Linked DNA regions of Drosophila melanogaster. The protein of the gene in region 1 interacts with the protein of each later gene in a pairwise test. Each region holds a gene or a part of one and is shown in the gene's direction. Other genes may lie near its edges.

What was found. Proteins that work in one complex are often made in the same cells at the same time.
Region 2: the proteins of Zdhhc8 (region 1) and SmydA-3 interact in a two-hybrid assay, tested with the Drosophila melanogaster proteins (one large-scale study listed by BioGRID).

Annotation. Positions count from the first base shown.
Region 1 is NC_004354.4:9,354,549-9,358,301, reverse strand, and holds the start of Zdhhc8 (zinc finger DHHC-type containing 8), read left to right. Parts: upstream 1-2,074; 5' UTR 2,075-2,187; exon of another isoform or gene 2,188-2,315; intron 2,316-3,123; 5' UTR 3,124-3,748; coding exon 3,749-3,753. Other genes in the region: BCL7-like, read right to left, coding at 621-739, 1,037-1,382. UniProt on the Drosophila melanogaster protein: Palmitoyltransferase that catalyzes the addition of palmitate onto various protein substrates and therefore functions in several unrelated biological processes. Regulates tissue growth possibly by regulating Ras64B protein stability.
Region 2 is NT_033779.5:10,848,052-10,851,804, forward strand, and holds the start of SmydA-3 (SET and MYND domain containing, arthropod-specific, member 3), read left to right. Parts: upstream 1-2,089; 5' UTR 2,090-2,208; exon of another isoform or gene 2,209-2,797; intron 2,798-3,189; 5' UTR 3,190-3,280; coding exon of another isoform or gene 3,281-3,636; intron 3,637-3,753. Other genes in the region: porin, read right to left, coding at 1-117, 190-417, 493-812.

The DNA of each region.
Region 1 (3,753 bases):
CAATTCGTTAACAAACTATAAGCTTTAGCTTGTAAACGCTTCGATTTCAAGTCTGTTGCATTCACTGAATGCGTAGAAAAGCGTTTACAAGCGAAATTTACAAGGAAAATCAACTTATGAACGAGTACATCAATTGTTTTCAAGCCAGTTTTATAGTGAACAAAAAAAAGTAGCCTTTATGTTAGTACGCTAAGTTATAAACTAGTTGTTGTCAAAACGTCTAGAAATCGAAAGTCAAAAAACTTTACACGGTTTACAACATTCAGACTGGCTGTTTTGTATCTTAAGCAGCTATTACAAAATTACATATCCATTCTACGTTCGTACTCAAATCGATTCGCATGTCTTTCTAATAAATAAGTTGTCACATTTGATCTTAATGCTATGGACCTATGACCTATCGACCATCAGCTACCCCCGCTTTGATGACAAATAAATGAGGCTTATGGCGGGACAGTCTGACAGCCGTAAAGAAACTGCTAGTGTAAGGGAAGTGCTTAAGTCTTGGGCTGAGGCAGATACTCTCTCGTCGTCCGGTGCTGTCGGTGCTAACCTAACTTAACTAGGGCTCTTAGTTAGTTGCTGCTGCTGCTGTAGACGCTGTGCCTGCGAATGTTTGGCTAGTCGCTCGTCTTCAATCGCTTCACGGGTCCATCGCTGCCCTGCGAGTTCGAGTCCTCAGAGAAGGGCATACTCGACACGAAGTCGGCGCCCTGGCTGTCGGACACGACGGAGAAACCTGTGTACAGATAGAGATCGCATGAATAAGACAGAGTAAACATGTGCTTTGGAGTGATAAATTGTGCTGAATAGGAAATACGCTTTGAAGCCAAAAACCAAATGTAAACAATATCGCTAATGCAAAGACAGCAATTTTTATAGCAGCTCCGCAAGCTTATGAGACTAATGGCACCTCGTAAAGGTCCTAAAATCCATATACTGCATCCTGTTTTTTTGTTTTGGCTCCTAACGCAGTGCTTGCAGACATAGAACCCAACTACTTATTTAAAGAGAACCAGCACATAGCCATCCTTACAGGTGTTAGAGTCCTCGGCGGTTAGTCCCTGGTAGCTGGGCGTGATCTGCGGCGGCGTGGGCGTGCCCTTCTGAGAGTTCTCCTTATCGCTCTTGCTGCCGCCGACCGGCGTAACGCCCGAGCCGGGGGGCGGTCTCCGGACAGCAGCCGATCCCGGCGAGGACTCCAGCTTGGCCTTCTTCTCACTGGCGGAGGCGATGGGCACCCATTTGTAGATTTTCATGGTGGTGTCGCTGATGGTCACCCACTTCTTCTCCCAGTGGCGCACCTTGTCCACCGCCTGCATCACCCGCTTGATGTCATCCTTCGCCCGGCTGCGCGTCTCCGCCCGCACGCTGCGCGACATGTCTGTGGGTCGATGGCGCCTGGTCTGGCTCTTCCTGCTTTAATCGCTTTTCCTCCTTAGCCAAAGTCGGCGTCACACGAAAAGCCGCTAAGTGTTTTCGCTACTTCTGGCTGCTTCACAACTGAACTCTCCCCGTCTGGCTTTTAAGTGGGATCGTGTCTCGTGATTTTGGCTGGTCTCGACCAGTTAACCAGTGGATAGTTCAGTTTTTTTGGCAATTCGCAAAAATATTTTTTAATACAACAAAAATAAGTAATCGATAGCAAGCGTGATTTTCAACTGATGTTATCGAATGATTGCCCGTTGTTTTCACGGGCTGCAGTGTGACCATTGGCTAAAGGTCCGTGCTAAAGTGTGATAGCTTATTAATTCGTGTATGATTTGTAACTCAAGTGCTTAATTTTTGAGCTGAGCTAAATTATTAGCCGTTTGTTTTTGAACAGCTACAACCGTTAAATTTTTAAATAATAATTTTGAACTGTTAGTCCAACGGTTTCTATTATCTGGCAACGCCAATGTTGCCAAATGGTATAATCTAGTATATTTTCGTGTACCATCGTGAGAGTGATGGGCGAAATATCGATGCGCGATGAGTATCGATTTGTCGATTCTTTATCATCGACAACATATCGATATCACAATGCTACGATGTCACTTCGATGGCTCGATGGTTTTTCGATGTTTTTCCACCGACCGACGAAATTATGCGTACGCTCCGCTTATTTTTTATTTATTTTTTCGTAATGCGAACCGAACGTTCGCCGCCCATTAGAATGGAATGAAAAGTCGCACAAAGCCGGGAAAAGTGAAGTTATTTACGCGAATTGAAACTCGCAGTGCGTGCGAGCGAGAGCGATAATTAAGATGAAAATGCAGGCGACGCCGAAATAAAAAACAAAAAAAACGTTGCAGCAACAACGTGCGTGTGCGAATGTATGTGTGTGCGTGCGTGAATGTGTGTGTCTGCTGGTATATGTGAAGAGCCAGGCGAACGAGCAAGAGGGTGATAGGAGGACGAGGAAGAGAAGAAGAAGAAGCAGCGGTGGAAAAGAGAACGAAGAAAAGTGGGGAAAGACGAAAAAGGCAAAACGACAAACGCACACGAAATTGAAAATAGTTGTACGAAAATCAGGAGAAAGCCAGCGATCTTATTTTTTTCTTAAATTTTCCCCCTGGATAATTGATATTAGAAATGTGTGCGTAAGCTAACACCGATACTAACACCAATGCAAACGCAAGGCTAGAATCGCTCCTCGCCCGAAAGAGAAAAAGAGAGAGAGAGAGAAACGCAAACAAATTGGAATAAATTATAGAAATTTAAAATAAAGTAAACAACTCAAATGGCAGGAATTTAAACAAAAGTAAACAAGGGGAACGAGCGATATAAATTAGTTCAACATTTCGGAATTTAAGTTAGAGGAATCTATGTTAGTGTGATATTTTATTTCATTCTATGTTGTCATTTGATAAGTTAAACATTTTACTTAAATGTGCAGCAATATGCTAATTAGCACTAAACATTTTATTTTATTCAATCATAAGTATTCATTTTTTTAAGTGAGATTCTTGGGACTCAGCAGTAAATATAATACGAATTGATAGCGAATGTATGAAATGCGAGTGTAATGTGTCATTTGAAATTGTGATTTTTTTTTCAAGTGAAAGTTAAGTGAAATATTTTTCTTGAGTGTACCTAATCAGTTTCATTTATAAATTTATTTCTGCAATTTCCCCAAAACAGCAGCCGCTTCAAAAGCCAGAACTTTGAAAAGTCGAAGCTGAATTTTCCCCGAGTTTTCCCGATTTTCCGTTTCCCGCGAATCTGAAAGCCGCGCTGCCGGCGTCGCTGTCTCTGCCGCCGTCGACGTCGTCGATCCCGTTTCACGCGTCGCCGCTTCGTCTCGCCGTCTCGCTTGTTTCCCGCCCCCTCTCTCTCTGCCCCTCGCCCGACCCCGCCACCCGACCCTCCTACCAAAAGTACCCCCCCCCCCCAACCAAAAAAAAAAATAAAATCATCCTTAAACAAAATATAAAAGATACGAAATAAAACAACAAACACACAGAGAGAGAGAGCGAGTGAGATAGATAGATTGAGAGAAAGCCAAGTCAAGAAACGTCATCAAGCGGCAGCAGCAACAACAACAACAGCAGCAAGCACAACAACTGCAACTGCAACCAAAACGGCAACCTCATCAGCGACAGCAGCAACAAAAACAAAACGCATTTCATTGCCAAGAAGAAAAAAACGGTCAACGACACTGCAACAACATTGGCCAACAGCAACAACAACAAATCAGCAATACTGAGAGACTGCACTAGCAACAACAACAACTGAAACAACAACCAACAAATAGGAAAATAGGAAAATGCC
Region 2 (3,753 bases), on another chromosome or scaffold:
GCGCCGATGGCGAACTTGGTGTTGCTGGTGCCGCTGGCCCACGACAGCTGTACACCCACATCCAGCTTGTCCGAAGTGCGTTGGAAGATCGAGCCGCTGAACTCCTGGCCATCGTTGCTAAACACCGGACAAGGCAATCATTAGTTTGCATTGATTTCATTTGCCATGCGTGGCAATTGCAATACTTACACAGCTGTGTGCAGAACAAAGTCCTTGGTGGTGTAGCCAAGGGCAAAGTTGTTGGTGGTCAGCTTGGACTGTTGTGTGTCAAATGCGGTCTGGTAGCCGGCCAACCATCCCTGGTAGCCAAGCACGGCAGAGGCATTGATCAAGGGGCCCTTCAGATCAATGTTCACATCCGAATCGGCCTTGACGTTCTCATGGCCGTAGGCAACCTTGAACTTGCCGTTCTTGTTTCTGACGATTTTTAATTAAATATGCAATATTAATTATTCTGCAGTGAACATATATGTAATAACATGTGATCCTTACCCAGACTGAGGAGCAAAGTTGCCCTCCAGGGACAGCTTCAGACCCTCGAGGAGCTGATCCTGGACAGCAACCTCGGTGAACAGCGTGTTGTCTGTGTTCCACTTCTCGGTGAGGGTCAGGCCGTAGTCCTTGACCTTGTACTTGGTCTCCAGGGAGCCGAAGACCTTTCCAGACTCCTGGTTGGAGTGTCCGGCTGTGTTGAACTCAATGCCCGACGAGGTCTTAGTCTTCAGATCGAGCTTCCACAGGCCAAAGTTGTAGCCTTTGCTGAAGATGTCGCGAGCCTGTTTGCCCAAATCGCTGTATGATGGAGGAGCCATCTGGAATGGATTGAAATGGAATGCATTAAATCGCACCTTCAATTAGTTGGTGAATAATCGATAATCATGACGATGATACTTATTGCGAAATCATTTCACTCGCCAGGTCATTAATTGCGTTTAGCGAACGATAAGTTTAATCTTATCAGCAACATAATGATTATTACTTTTTGCTCGACTTGATTTCAAAATGTTCTATCGGCCGCAAATGAAAAGTGAAAACTAAAAGACGCCAAAAAACAGCATCAACATGTCCCAAGAATTTCGAGGGCTTTTTCCCCATTTTCACTTTGGCTAAATGTCAATTTTGTGCGGCGAAAATAAAGAAATCAATTTAGATTAGTGTTCAAGGCGGCCACATGCAAAGAATCACCAACTGAAGCAGCGAAAATTCTGAGTGACTGAGGAGGGGGTCAATGCACGTCTGGGCAAAATAAAGTGGCGCAAAAAATAGAAGCGAAGATAGAAAACAAATAGTGACTAAGTCTATTTTACTCCAAGAAATTAAGGGTTTTCTATACCAATGCAAAACCATTTAAATCAAAATTTATTTTTCAAATATTTTTATAGGTTTTTTAAACTAAAATTTTAATAAAAATACTGAGATTTTCCCTATTTATCTGGCCACAGGTTTGCCTCTCTCTATGTTTACGTTCCGTTCTTGCTGGCATTAATTGCTGGTCAGTTCAGTCCCGTTAGGCTAGCGATCATTGACTCAGAAGCTAACTGCACATTTGCAACGTCTGCTGTGGTCACTGCTTCGCTGTTTCTATTTGCGTGACGTCAGGAATGCGACTCACAGTCGCGGTAGGAATATTAGTCGCGGATAAATAAATTTCTATCCGATATTGAGCATAAAAAAAATCAAACAAAAATAACCCAAAACATCTAATTGAAATTATTATATAGATATAACAATATAAATATTTCATGTTGTGTTCGGGGGGATTGGTGGGGGGAAACTCAAGGCAATCAAGGCAGAAAATTATGAAAAGCAGCGGCCAGCAGACAAAAATCTTTATGGCCGGCAGCCAAACGTTAAATGGGATGGGCTCTTATTGTTCCGGAAGTCAGGTGATATAACCTGGTCACTAGATGCTGAAAATAATACTATCAGGTGGATGTCCCGGTGAAAATGAATCAGCATCTCGTTGACGATGACCTTGACAAGCAGATTATAAAGGGGGTGGTTGGGTGGATGTGCAGCTCATTTTTTCGACAGTTGCATAACAGCAGGGAAATCGATGAGGGAAAGTGGAAAGCTAAGTGAATAGCTGCCCGAAAAGGTGGTCTATTGATTTTCCAGGTGACGTCACTGCGAAAATACCACCCACAATCGCGAAGTGCACCCACCTCCTCACATGACCACAAACAAACAAAACGACGATAAAGAACGGTAAAGAGTGAAATCGAAAATGTTTATTGAGCGAGCTGCACGCTGGTGGATGGCAACATGACGATAACGAACGGAATTGATGCGACATGCGTTACGTAACGGAAATTCGCCAGGCACTTTTCCATCGATCTCTCTGCTTCTTTGCCCCCTTTTTTCGCCGGCAGCTGCTGCCAATGAACTGCGAAGGCATTGGTGTGCGTGGACTGTTCATGTGTGGATGTGTGTGTGACAGCTAACCGGCTTAATATCCCCTTTAAATTTCGGATTTATCAATTAATTATTGCGTGATTTGGTGATAAGAAGCTCGCCCATCGTCATCCAACAAAAAAGTGCTCAGCCCTTTTGCTTTTCGTTCATGCGCGTGTCTACTTGCAATTTTTTCATTTCGAGGTTATGAAATCACTGGCACCGAAAATCCTGATTTTCCTTCTACCCATAGGGGTATCCATCACATTTCACTGAATTTTGAGGGGGTTTACTCCTGAGCTACTTACTTTTGATGAGTTTTAGTTTGGTTAGAGTGTAATGCGAAACGCAGAGGAACAGAGACACCACGACAAACGTACACCAAAAAATTTTGTAATTCTGTGCCTTAGTGTTACCAACCCTAAAAATTCGTCCAATAATTATTCCCTAAAACAAGCCGCAGATATACTATCTGGTAACGCTGCGTCACTCTTAATGGCAATGGTCACACTTTTTGTAACGGAAATTTGAAAACTAACGGTTACTTAAAATAATTATTGAAATTAGAATTCAATCATTCTATTAAGAAATTCGTTATCTTAAGAACAATTAACTTACATCAAAGTGTTTTTTTTTTACATAAAAGGGTTTCCTGCAAACGAAAACTTTAAAGTTGTGGACAAGTAAATGGGCTTTAAAAAAGTTATAATCCAAAGCAATCAAAATGCAATAAATATATTACAACTTTATTGATTGACACCAATGAAGTGTGTGCGATGCTCTTTTTATTTTTAGACGAATCTGCGTGCAGGGCCGCCAATCGACCGCATAATCCCATTCGGATGGGCCAAAAGCGAGACCAGTGCATTTGCCGTGCGGCGACAGAATGTTGAAGGCCCGTCTGCAGGAGGACGCCGTGCTGGGACGCTGCTTGGCCACCTCTAGCTCCGTGGAGCGGGGCGAGCTGGTGCTGGAGGAGCTGCCCTTCGCACGCGGACCGAAGCGCGACAGCGGAATCGTGTGCCTGGGCTGCTACCAGTTCCTGCAGTTCGGAGAGGACGGCGATTCGCTGGACCGCTGCGAACTCTGCGATTGGCCGCTGTGCGGATCGTGCGCCGACGACGAAGACGTCACGGAGCACCGCGGAGAGTGCCAGGTCTTCTCCGCCGCACGTGTCACTTTCGCCGGGAATGTGAGCGATGATGGCGTCTGCCCGCAGTTGGATTGCATAACCATATTGAGGTTAGTTCGCGGGCGCTCCAGCGGGGCGGGGGTGATGGTGCTGGGTACATCCGTACAGCAGGGGCTACTGGGTGCTACTAGGGGAACCTGGGCGGTCTGTCCGAATATTAGTTTTGG